Linked DNA regions of Callithrix jacchus. The protein of the gene in region 1 purifies or fractionates together with the protein of each later gene. This does not show direct contact. Links are inferred from orthologs where the notes say so. Each region holds a gene or a part of one and is shown in the gene's direction. Other genes may lie near its edges.

What was found.
Region 2: the proteins of THEMIS (region 1) and PTPN11 purify together in Homo sapiens (co-immunoprecipitation; 3 studies listed by BioGRID and IntAct, counting the BioPlex papers as one, with this or other methods). This does not show direct contact. The link is inferred for Callithrix jacchus from reciprocal best matches to the Homo sapiens genes THEMIS and PTPN11.
Region 3: the proteins of THEMIS (region 1) and GRB2 purify together in Homo sapiens (co-immunoprecipitation; 6 studies listed by BioGRID and IntAct, counting the BioPlex papers as one, with this or other methods). This does not show direct contact. The link is inferred for Callithrix jacchus from reciprocal best matches to the Homo sapiens genes THEMIS and GRB2.

What each region holds. Positions count from the first base shown.
Region 1 is NC_133505.1:134,242,874-134,246,236, reverse strand, and holds part of THEMIS (protein THEMIS), read left to right. Parts: intron 1-1,591; coding exon 1,592-1,876; 3' UTR 1,877-3,363.
Region 2 is NC_133510.1:115,408,122-115,411,771, forward strand, and holds part of PTPN11 (tyrosine-protein phosphatase non-receptor type 11), read left to right. Parts: intron 1-131; coding exon 132-245; intron 246-3,650. UniProt on the Homo sapiens protein: Acts downstream of various receptor and cytoplasmic protein tyrosine kinases to participate in the signal transduction from the cell surface to the nucleus. Positively regulates MAPK signal transduction pathway. Dephosphorylates GAB1, ARHGAP35 and EGFR.
Region 3 is NC_133506.1:131,303,731-131,308,178, reverse strand, and holds the start of GRB2 (growth factor receptor-bound protein 2), read left to right. Parts: upstream 1-1,585; 5' UTR 1,586-1,799; intron 1,800-4,448. UniProt on the Homo sapiens protein: Non-enzymatic adapter protein that plays a pivotal role in precisely regulated signaling cascades from cell surface receptors to cellular responses, including signaling transduction and gene expression.

The sequences.
Region 1 (3,363 bases):
GTCTGAGAGAATGTCATGTTGGAAATGTATTCTCACGCGATATCCAGTATCTGGGATACTATAGATATATGGTGGTTGAAGGTACCAGTTATCTGTCAGCATACAATGCTGCATAACCACCAGAAAAACATAATGGCATACAACCAAAAGCACATTCATTTTGTTCACGAAGCTGTGGAATTCAGCTGACCTGAGCTGATCTCAGGTGATCTAGGCTGGTTTCACCCAAATGTCTCGGGCTCCTCTGGTTGTTGGTTGCTTCAGCTTGGACAGCTGGGGTGACCTAACTCTGCCCATCTCGTGTTTAATCTGTGGTCAGCTAATACAGGCATAGCCTCATGGCATAGTGGAAGTTAAGGAATGAGCAAAAACAATTGTGCAAGCCTCTTTCAAGCCCCTGTGTCAATATTCTGTTAGGCCAGAAGAAGCCACTTTGAGAGGTCAAAAGTCAGAGTAGGATAGCACTGCAAAATTCTTTAGAAAGGACATGGATACAGAGAGGAGTGAAGAGTGAGGGCTATCTGTGCATCCAGTTCACTGCATTAAAAATCTCAAGAAATCAATCATAAAGAACACCATCCAGGGTTCAGGCTCAGCATTGTTCATTTGTTAACTCAAGTGAATTATTTAATCATTCTAAAGCCTAATTTCCTTACTGGCCCTTCTCAAGCTTTAAAAGCCGTTGGCTTTATAAAATCGGGCTTTTAATGAATTTCATGCTATATACAGTCTATTGGAAATACTTCACAGGAAGTTGTCCATTGTACTATCCTTTAGTGAGCCAACATGGCTAGGCTGAATGGCCATAATTGATTATCTAATATTGACATATTCTGTAATTTTATTTAAATTGATAAAATTTTAGTCTGGACTTGGTATGAATTAATTAAGTACTGGAAGTTGAATTTTCAATTGGAATCTTTATTTTTTGCTCCCATCTGATGATTCTTTTGAAGCATACAGTGTGTCAGTATAATGTCAAATGCTGTGATATCTCTTACATGTGAGATGAGTTATAGGGCCATTGATGCCGTGCCTTAATAATTCATTGTTATGATGAATTAATTACTCTAAAATTGACTAGAGGAACTTTGTCAAATTCGCATAATGCACCTAAAAATGTGGGTTAATTTATAGCAGATGTTATGATTTGTTTTATATAAAGCATACAGATAATACAGAAATGAAATCTGCTTTAATTATATAGTATGTAATTATGTAATAGATAATGAAGTGCTGGATTAGTTAACTATAAGAATAAAAACTAAGTGAAAATGTTCCAAATGAAAAATATTTTATAAGTTTCACAAAAAGAAAGTAATATACACAAATGGTCTTTGAAGATGGTTTTCTATGCCTAAAATGACTTCTTATTCTAGTTACTTAGATTGCTTCAAAAATTGTACACCTATATTTCCAAAATAAGTTGATAAACCTATAATTTGTAACTTGCTTTGACATGTCGAATGTTCTGTTTCAGACATACCTAAATGACTTGCCATGTGATAAATCGTTCATAGCTCTGTGAAACATTTATTTTGGACTGATAATTTACTTGTAATATCAATCACTCTGACCTGTGTCATTTCAGCATCATCATGTAGACATATCCAAGAAACTTCACCAGAATCAAGCTGGCCTGGATTCAAAAGTACCAGTTGGTAGTCAGAATGATTTCATGGCTGTAGAGAACGAGAGGAGCTACTGCGGGGCCACAGCAGTAGCCAGTACTAATGTGACTACAGGTCAGTTCAACCACAGTAGTTTAACTGTCCACATGACAAAGGTGCAGTGGACAGATTCTTACTGCTATTTTGTTTGGAATATATGGCTCAGCCAAAGTGACTACCCTGCCCTGCAAATCACATTGAAATAAAGTTTTACATGAGGCATAATATTGAACACTCACAATAATAATAGTAATGTTTATTGTTTTTCGTTATTAGATTTTTCGCCTCATTTATGGTTTTCATGGCCAATGAAGTGTTTTAAGATTGCTTGTATTGTTGTGATAATAAAATTTTGATATTTTTTCTAGAACAATGAACAACAAGAATTACTTTCTTGAAAAGATGTTAAAATAATTGACACGTGTTAAATTTAAGAAAGTGTCAGATAAGTCATTGACTGCAAGCTTGAATTATTATCATTTATAGAGATTGTGATCTGATATTTTTCATCTCTACTGAGGGCAAAACAAAAGCAAATGGACTTGCGGAGGAGTTGATAGCATTCAATTAAGCTACCCAGACTAACTTCCATATGGCAGAAATTTGGGATGAGATAGCAAGGGAAATAAGAAGTTTGTTTCTTGCCAATATTTTAGACACACCAAACCCCCTCAATTTCTATTACACTTTATCTTTGAAACTTCACATTTAGTTCATGGGAAAATTGAAACTGTAATTATTCTTAAGCATACGGTTTGTTCCTTTCTCCTCCTTATTTGGTTTTGTAGCTAGCACGCTTTCTTCTCCAAGGACATGTAAAAGTCAAAATACTAGATATAAAGTCTCTGAAGTGTTCCTGCTCCAAACCCGGTCTGCACAATCTGGGTTCTTTCACGTAGTTAGCTTACAGGCTTCTGACACTCCTATAAATACGTCCCATAGATCTTTTCTTATTACCTTTTCATTGACTCTCTCCGAGTGAGAAAAATGAAATTCTGTAAAGGGCTTTGAAAACCATGCATATTGCAATTCCTCCAAATTTCTAATACTAATCAAGTGTGACTATAAAAGAAACAACCACTGCAGTGAAATCGCTGCAGCATGTAGAGTCTCAAGCCATTATTAATTCATTGGAAACTGTTTTTTTTTTCTTTTTCTTTAAGATTGTGGATTCTAAAAAGTACCAGATAACACAATTCCTGACATCAAAGTTTTTGTTTCAATCAGAGGGAAATGTTACCTAATCTTCTCTTGTATGTGAATCTTTCGGGCATGGTACAGCAGTAGTCCCAGCTTTGTGCCCTGAGTGAGTAGTACAGCGTATGTTACAGACCAGAGCAGCACATGCTTTGAACCATATTACATGGAAGTGATGATTTTAGAGACAAGGATGACCTGGAATTAAAGCAGTGGTTCCAGGCAAATGACACTCCTTAACTTCATTCAAGAGAGTAAAATGGAATCTCCTTTCCTAAATCAATTTGATTTTAACATCCATTTATTTAGAAATTACCCAGTATGAACATCTTGGCAATATTTTTTATTTGCTTTCCCATTTGTAAATGCAATAAATTACTGTCTTTCTTCATTATGGATTATAATTGTGTGATAATTCTATATATAAAAATGCAAAAGTGGAATAGAGCAAAAATATAATTTTTCAAAGTTTATTTTTATCTATATAATATAGTGT
Region 2 (3,650 bases), on another chromosome or scaffold:
TTGTGAATTATATGGTCTGCGAACCCTCTGTTCTTGCCTTTATGAATATCAACATAGAAGTTTTTTTTTTGCATTAACACTATTTTCTGTAAAATTTTCTTTTTTTTACGTCAACCGCTGTACTTGATCAGCCCCTTAACACGACTCGTATAAACGCTGCTGAAATAGAAAGCAGAGTTCGAGAACTAAGCAAATTAGCTGAGACCACAGATAAAGTCAAGCAAGGCTTTTGGGAAGAATTTGAGGTAAGTTATTAAAACTGTTTTTATGTGAGTTGTTATGTCCTATTTTTAGTGGAGGAGAAGTTGGTCTTATGTTTGGAATTGGACCTGAGAGACTTGAAACTGACGTTCTTTTTTAAATTCGGCCATTGATTGACGTGGAACAAGTTGCTGAGAGGGCTTCTTCGAAATAGAAGAGCATTGTGTTCTGAGGGAAGGGAGTTGGCAATGAGTAGTCAGTGGATGCGCCAACAGCTCCATTTGGCTCTTTTGGTTTTGACTGGTGGCAAAATCTCAAAGAAACAAAAGGATCTAATTTCTCTGGAAGATTTCCAACATACACTGGGGTCTTTAGAAAGAATCTGTGGCTTTACTGCAGCAAATGAGTGTGAGTAAAAGAAACACCTTGTGGTGGCTTTTTTTTTGAGACAGGGTCTCACTCTGTTGCTGAAGCTGGAGTGTAGTGGTGTGATTTTGGCTCACTACAGCCTTGGCCTTCCTGGGCTCAAGTGATCCTCCCACATCAGCCTCCTGAGTAGCTGGGACTCTAGGCACATGCCACCATACGTGGCTAATTTTTGTATTTTTGGTAGAGATGATGTTTTACAGTGTTCCCCAGGCTGGTCTTGAACTCTTGGGCACAAATGATCCTCCTACTTCAGCTTCCTGAGTAGCTGGGAGTACAGGCACATAACACCATGCCCGTCTAATTTTTGTATTTTTTTGTAGAGATGGGGTTTTGCAAAGTTGCCCAGGCTGGTCTTGAACCCTTGGGCTCAAGTGATCCACCTGTCTTGACTTGGCAAATGTGGTTGCTTTAATTTTAGAGTTCAAATTGATAACTCTGGTAAGTTAAATGAACTGATTTTTAAAAAATTATTTTTGTTTATTATACTTTAAGTTCTGGGATACATGTATAGAAAGTGGAGGCTTGTTACATGGGTATACATGTGTCATGGTGGTTTGCTGCACATATCAACCCATCATCTAGGTTTCAAGCCCCTTATGCGTTAGATATTTGTCCTGATGCTCTCCCTTTCCTTCCCCCCGCATCCCCTGACAGTTTGTGATGTTCTCCTCCCTGTGTCCATGTGTTCTCATTGTTCAACTCCCACTTATGATTGAGAACATGTGGTGGTTGGTTTTCTGTTCCTGTGTTAGTTCACTAAGAATGATGGTTTCCAGCTTCATTTATGACCCTGCAAAGGACATGAACTCATTCTTTTTATGGCTGCATAGTATTCCATGGTGTGTATGTGCCACATTTTCTTTATTCAGTCTATCATTGATGGGCATTTGGGTTGGTTTCAAGTCTTTGCTTTTGTAAATAGTGCTGCAATAAACATATGTGTGTATGTGTCTTCATAGTAGAATGACGTATAATCCTTTGGGTGTATACCCAGTAATGGGATTGCTGGGTCAAATGGTATTTCTAGTTCTAGATCCTTGAGGAATTGCCACACCATCTTCAACAATGGTTGAACTAATTTAGACTCCCACCAACTGTGTAAAAGCATTCCTGTTTCTCCACATCCTCTCCAGGATTTGTTGTTTCCTGACTTTAAGTAAATTGATTTATTTCCTGAAACTAACTTGGGTTGGAGAATGTCCCTGATGGGAATGTGCTGTGTTCCCATTACACTTTTCTATGTCACTTACCCATTGATAATGTGATCTCTTTCATTTTCTTGTCATACATTTGACAGAAAACTTCAAAAACAATGATTCTGGAATATTTACCTTTGCAGTTGTTTCCAGCATCTAGCACAATGCCTGGTATACAACAGAAACTCCATAAATGTTTGTTGAATGAGTATTTACATTTAACTCATGTTCACATCATTTTATTTTTCTGTTCTATGTTATGGGAATGATTATTTTATGCTTTTCGTAAGACTACAATTTATAAATATTTGTGGAATGAATGAATGAGTAAAGTGAATAACTGGGTAAATAAAGTCCTTTAGCCACAGTATGTCTGAACACTTGCTGAGATAAATATGATTTTCCATTTTTCAGCTGAGGGGCCTAAGGGAGGTTAAGTAAACATACCACAGGTGTTTTGTTTTTTCCTGAGACAGGGTCTCACTCTGCTGCTTAGACTGGAGTACAGTGTGCAATCATAGCTCACTGCAGCGTCTAACTGCTGGGCTCACACCATCCTCTCACCTCAGCCTCCTGAGTAGCTGGGACTACAGGTGTGCGCCACCATACCCGGCTAATTTTATACCCGGCTAATTTTTTTATTTTTTTTAGATATGCGGTCTCACTGTGTTACCCAGGTTAGTCTTGAACTCCAAAGCTCAAGCAATTCTCCCATCTTTGCCTCTCAAAGTATTGGGATTATAGGCATGAGCCGCTGTGCCTGGCCCATATCACAGATATTGATTGAATTCCAGTACTGGGGAGGAATGCAGAATAGAACATTCTGAGTTGGCCAGGCCTGTGGCTCATGCCTGTAATCCCAGCACTTTACCAGGCTGAGGTGGGCTAATCACCTGTGGTTGGGAGTTTGAAACCAGCCTGACCAAAATGGTGAAACTCCATCTCTACTGAAAATACAAAAAATTAGCCGGGCATGGTGGCGCATGCCTGTAATCCCAGCTACTCGGGAGGCTAAGGCAGGAGAATCACGTGAACTTGAGAGATGGAGGTTGTGGTGAGCCAAGATCGTGCCATTGCACTCAGCCTGGGCAATAATAGTGAAACTGCATCTCAAAAAACAAAAAAAAAAGAACATTCTGAGTTTTTGCTCAACATTGCTGAACAGAGACTTGAATTATTCTCTTATCCCAGGTATTGGGTTAGGCTTTGGAGACACTAGTGAACAAGATAGACAGGGTTACTGCCTTTAAAGGGATCATCTAGTTGAGAGAAGGAAAACAGTGATTAAAAGCATCAATAAAAAATGGATGATAGGCTGGGCGTGGTGGCTCACTCCTCTAATCTCATCACTTTGAGAGGGTGAGGCAGGTGGATCACTTGACTCCAGGAGTTTGAGACCAGCCTGGGCAACATGGTAAAACCCTGTCTCTACAAAAAATACAAAAAGTAGTCTGGTGTAGTGGTGCACACCTGCAGTCTAAGCTACTCTGGGGTTGAGGTGGGAGGATTGCTTGAACCTGGGAGGTTGAGGCTGCAATGAGCTGAGATCATGCCACTGCATTCCAGCCTGGGCAACAGAGCCAGACCCTGTCCCCCCCCAAAAAATTTGACGATAAACATAGTGAGTCAGAATTTTGAGATCTCAAGCTCAGTGTTGCCTTCTTTGTGCCCTACCTGACTAGATAATAAGAGGCAGCATTTCAGCAGTCATTCATTTCATTATGTTCATTTCATTTCACCTTCATCAAGCCTCATGAGGCAAGATGGGGAGATACAGAAGTTTTAGAAACCTCTCATCAAAACTGAATGGAAGACTGATTTTTC
Region 3 (4,448 bases), on another chromosome or scaffold:
TCAAACCAAGTCCTTCTTGATTAGCTCAGCACTAAGTACTGGATCCCTCCTCAGCCATCCCTATGTGTAGTTCAGTGGCACTTGGGGTCAACTGCTTGTCTTACAGACTAGGAAACTAGATTACAAAGCACTGAAAGCAGAGGCTTTATCTGGTTGGTCATTTATCCTGCAAAGCCCCTTGCATACAGGTGATGCTCAATAAAAACTTGGTGAAAGAACATTTCAACATTTCATTTTCTGTGTTTCTTTCTTTCTTTTTTGAGACGGAGTTTCGCTCTTGTTACCCAGGCTGGAGTGTAATGGCACGATCTCGGCTCAAGGCAACCTCTGTCTCCTGGGTTCAGGCAATTCTCCTGCCTCAGCCTCCTGAGTAGCTGGGATTACAGGCATGCACCACCATGCCCAGCTAATTTTTTGTATTTTTAGTAGAGACAGGGTTTCACCATGTTGACCAGGATGGTCTCGATCTCTTGACCTCATGATCCACCCGCCTCGGCCTCCCAAAGTGCCGGGATTACAGGCTTGAGCCACCGTGCCCGGCTCATTTTCTGTGTTTCAATGGGCTTGTTTCCTCTGTACAATCAGATGCTTGGTTATTCTCATCTCAACGCTATTTTTTTGGCTTCCAGAAGACACATTAACACTAGGTGTGTTCTGTTCTATCCTTTAATTGGAAAGAGCTTTGATAACTGAAAAACAAGAATTATTTACCGAAGCCTCATCTTCTGCCACTCCCCCATACTCACCGGCCTCATACAGGAATTGAACTACTTAGCACTGCACAGCACACGACTTTCACGCCTCCGTTCCGCTGTACTTAGCCTCTGTACTTACGTGCCATTCCCTTTCCCTGAAATGCCCTTACTCTGGCTTCTCTGCCTGGCAAACTCCTACTCATCCCCCAAGACTCAGCTTAGACATCGCCGCATCACCTCTGTAAAGGCTCTTTTGCAATGGGCAGAGTAGCCATTCTTCTTCCATCTTTTTAGCTTTCTCAGCAAACTCCAAATAACAGTACTTATGGCATTATTTGTTTATTTTTCTCTGCTTCCCTAGACCGTAAATTCCTTAAGGACCAGGATTTCTGTTCTATATCCAGCACAGTGTTCAGCCTATATTAGGCACATAATTAAATAAATGAGTAAACAAACCCACCAATCATTCAACATTGCAGAGTTTGTACGGATTCTCAAATATTTCAAGACCTGGTCTTCTGTTTGGAGTGCTTCAGGCTGGAAACTCTCTTCCTCCCCCCAGCCCCCATCCATATCCAATTGCCTTGGTTTGGTAGAGGAGAAAAGAAAGTGATTAGACGGGGTAAGAATTTATTCCTTCAGGACTAAGCTGTTATTTACCCGCTCTGGTACCGAGAGGGTTACGGCGACCCAGGGGCGGAGCCGTGACGAGGCCACCTGCTGCGGGCGGTCTGGCGCATGCGCCCTGGGGCCTAGCTAGTCACTACCTGCCGGAGCCCGGCCCAGGAGGAGCGCTTGCGCTTTGGGCGTTTTCCGCCGGGGGAAGTCTCGCGGGGGCGGGGCGGGGCGGGGCCTCGTGGAGAAGTTCTCGCGGGACACCCACGGCGAGCGGAAGCGAGGCGGCTCTGCTGCTTCGGCGACCGGGCGGCGGCGGCGGCGGCGGCGGCGGCTGTGGCTGAGGCTGTGTCTGTGTCTGTTTCTGTGTCTGTGACCGTGACGGCGGCGGGAGCAAGCGCCGCCCTCGCGGAGCAGCCTCGGGGTCGGCGGCCGCTCTCAGCGTTGAGGTGGGTCAGGCCCGACGCGGAGCGGACTAGCTGCGCCACGGTGAGTGCGGGCGGCTGCGCTCGGCGCCGCTCCTGTGTCTCTTCCTCTCCGCTCTGCGACGGGAGTGGGCCCTGGGGGAACCGGGACCCCGGCCCTTGGGGTCGGGTCGGGGCGGCGAAGCTCGGGACGCGGAGTGGAATGCCCAAGGCTCTGGACTCTGCGTTTCCCCTTTTGGGGCGCTTCCTTCCTGGGGAACGTCCTCCTCCGGCTCTCGGCTGTCTGTGCAGTGTCCGGGAGCCCGGGGGTAGAAGTCGGGGCTCCCTCGTGAAGTCCCCTGCCTTCGTCGGAAGGGTTTGCACGAAAGGGGCCTGGGAAGCCCGGAAGGGCAAAACCCCGACTGAGTCAGTCCGCCCGATCCCGGCGGCGGGGGACTTGGTGTGGGCTGCAGCTGTGGTGATTGATGCGCCTCCGACCTGCATGACAACCACGTCACCATCTCTTGGCGTCTTTGGGCTTAATTTTGTGCGGGAATCCACGGTGGGGTAGAACGTTCATCTCCCCGGGGGAGATGTCTTTATTCTGAGACTTAAAAAAAAATTATTTGAAAAATTAAGCAGCAGCAGGTTGGACTGCACCGAGGAAACATTGCGGCGAGAGCGGGCGCTGGTAATTTTCATTTGCAGCGCGCCCTCTCTGTGATTGTAAACCACATATGAGTTATGGCTTGTTTGGAAAGTTTTTCAAGCCTGGCTTCAAAGGCTATGAAAGTGCAGTTTGCAGAGGACTGAAGTGCATTTGAGGTGTGTCTCTTCTTGATGCTGTTGACTTTCAGAAATGTCAGACACATGAGAGAAATCAGCATTAGTCCCTGGCTTTCTTAACCCCTCTTTCACTCAGTACTTCTCCAGTTATTTCCTTACCTCTCTATCTACTTCTGTCCATTCCACTAGGGACAAGAAGTGCTTGTGTAATGCAAGTCATTTGCCCCTTCCTTCCCCCACCCCCCTCTTTTTTTTTTCTAATCTACTTCCCCTTCCTCCTTGGTAGTCCCCACTCTGGCGTAATTTTTCGAGGTTTCTTCCCTTTCGCACTGTTAGTTTTCTCTGATTTCAAGATTCCGTCCTTTTTCTCGGGAAGAGATCCTCTTTCCTGCTTTGGTGCCTTTACTTTTGCGCTTTCCCCTGCGTTCGCTAGTCAGCCAGAAGGGTTGCTAGAGAGCCATTGGAGGCTGAGGTTCCCCCGCTGAGAAGGGGGTGGGGGGCTCAAAAGATTGAATTCAGCCGGGTGCGGTGGCTCCCGCCTGTAATCCCAGCACTTTGTCAAGAGATCCAGACCATCCTGGCCAACATGGTGAAATCCCGCCTGTACTAAAAATAAAAAAATTACCTGGGTGTGGTGGCGCGCGCCTGTAGTCCCAGCTACTCGAGGCTGAGGCAGAAAAATCGCTTCAACCCGGGAGACGGAGATTGCAGTGAGCTCAGATCGCACCACTGCACTTCAGCCTGGCGACAGAGCGAGACTCCGTCTCAAAAAAAAGATTGAATTAATCCCTAAGAATTCAGTCCTGCCACTAGGTTACAAGTGTGGTTTGTTTGTTGTTTTGTGTTTTAGTTTTTTAAGATTATGCTTTTGTACCTATTTATGCTTTCTTCCAGTATGTCTTTATAATAGTAAGGAATATTGGGTCAGCTCAGGGCTTATGTGACTTTTTGACTTTTAGTGGGGGGTGTTAATGTTAAAAAGTGAAGGTCAACTATAAGTCTATATTAGGTTAAAATAGTCTGAAAAATGTAAGAGGCTAGAACTGATTTAGACCATCGAATTAGTTGAAGCCTGCGCGTTGTAGTAGTACTAATTTATTCTTTGTTAGGCTTTTAGTTAAAAATCAGGGATCTTTTTTCTGCATCTATTATAACTGGCCTTCGTTGTTGTTTTTGACAAAGAAATCTCTATTTGCTCCTTCCCAAGTTCAAAATGTTCCCAATCTCAAGATTTAAAAGAGTTAATTCTTATGATCAGCTATCTCCTAGTATGTATGTATGTATGTATGTATTTATTTATTTATCTATCTGAGACGAGTCTCACTCTTGCACAGGCTGGAGTGAGTGGTGCTGAGGATCTCGGTTCACTGCAGCCTCCACCTCCTGGGTTCAAGCACTCTTGTGCCTCACCTTCCCAAGTAGCTAGGATTACAGGCTCTCACCACCACACCTGGCTAATTTTTGTATTTGGTGGAGACGGGGTTTCACCATGTTGGCCGCGCTGGTCTCGAACTCCTAACCTCAAGTGATCTGCCTGCCTCAGCCTCCCTAAGTACTGAAATTACAGGTGTGAGCTCCTGTGCGGAGCCTAAACTCAGACATTTAAATGTTTGAGGCACTTAACTTGTCAGCAAGTTATTCCGATTTGAGAGGTTTGCTGGGTTTTAAGTACTACCAGTTGCTGGTACTTAGAGATTCTTTTCAGTAATTCCTGTTATGTTGCATATTGTGCATTGGAGTTCTAATTGTTGCATAGAACAGAAGAGCAAAGGATTTTGGAGAAAGGAAGTAATACAGAATAGAGTCACCATGCTCTCCTGAGAGAAATTAATTCTTAACTGCTTAATTCAGAGGAAGTCTCCGCCATTACCAAGTGGCTTTTGAGAGTGTATTTTTGTGTGTGTGTCAAAGTTGCCTTTTTCCCAGTTGTGCCAAGTGAATATACGTT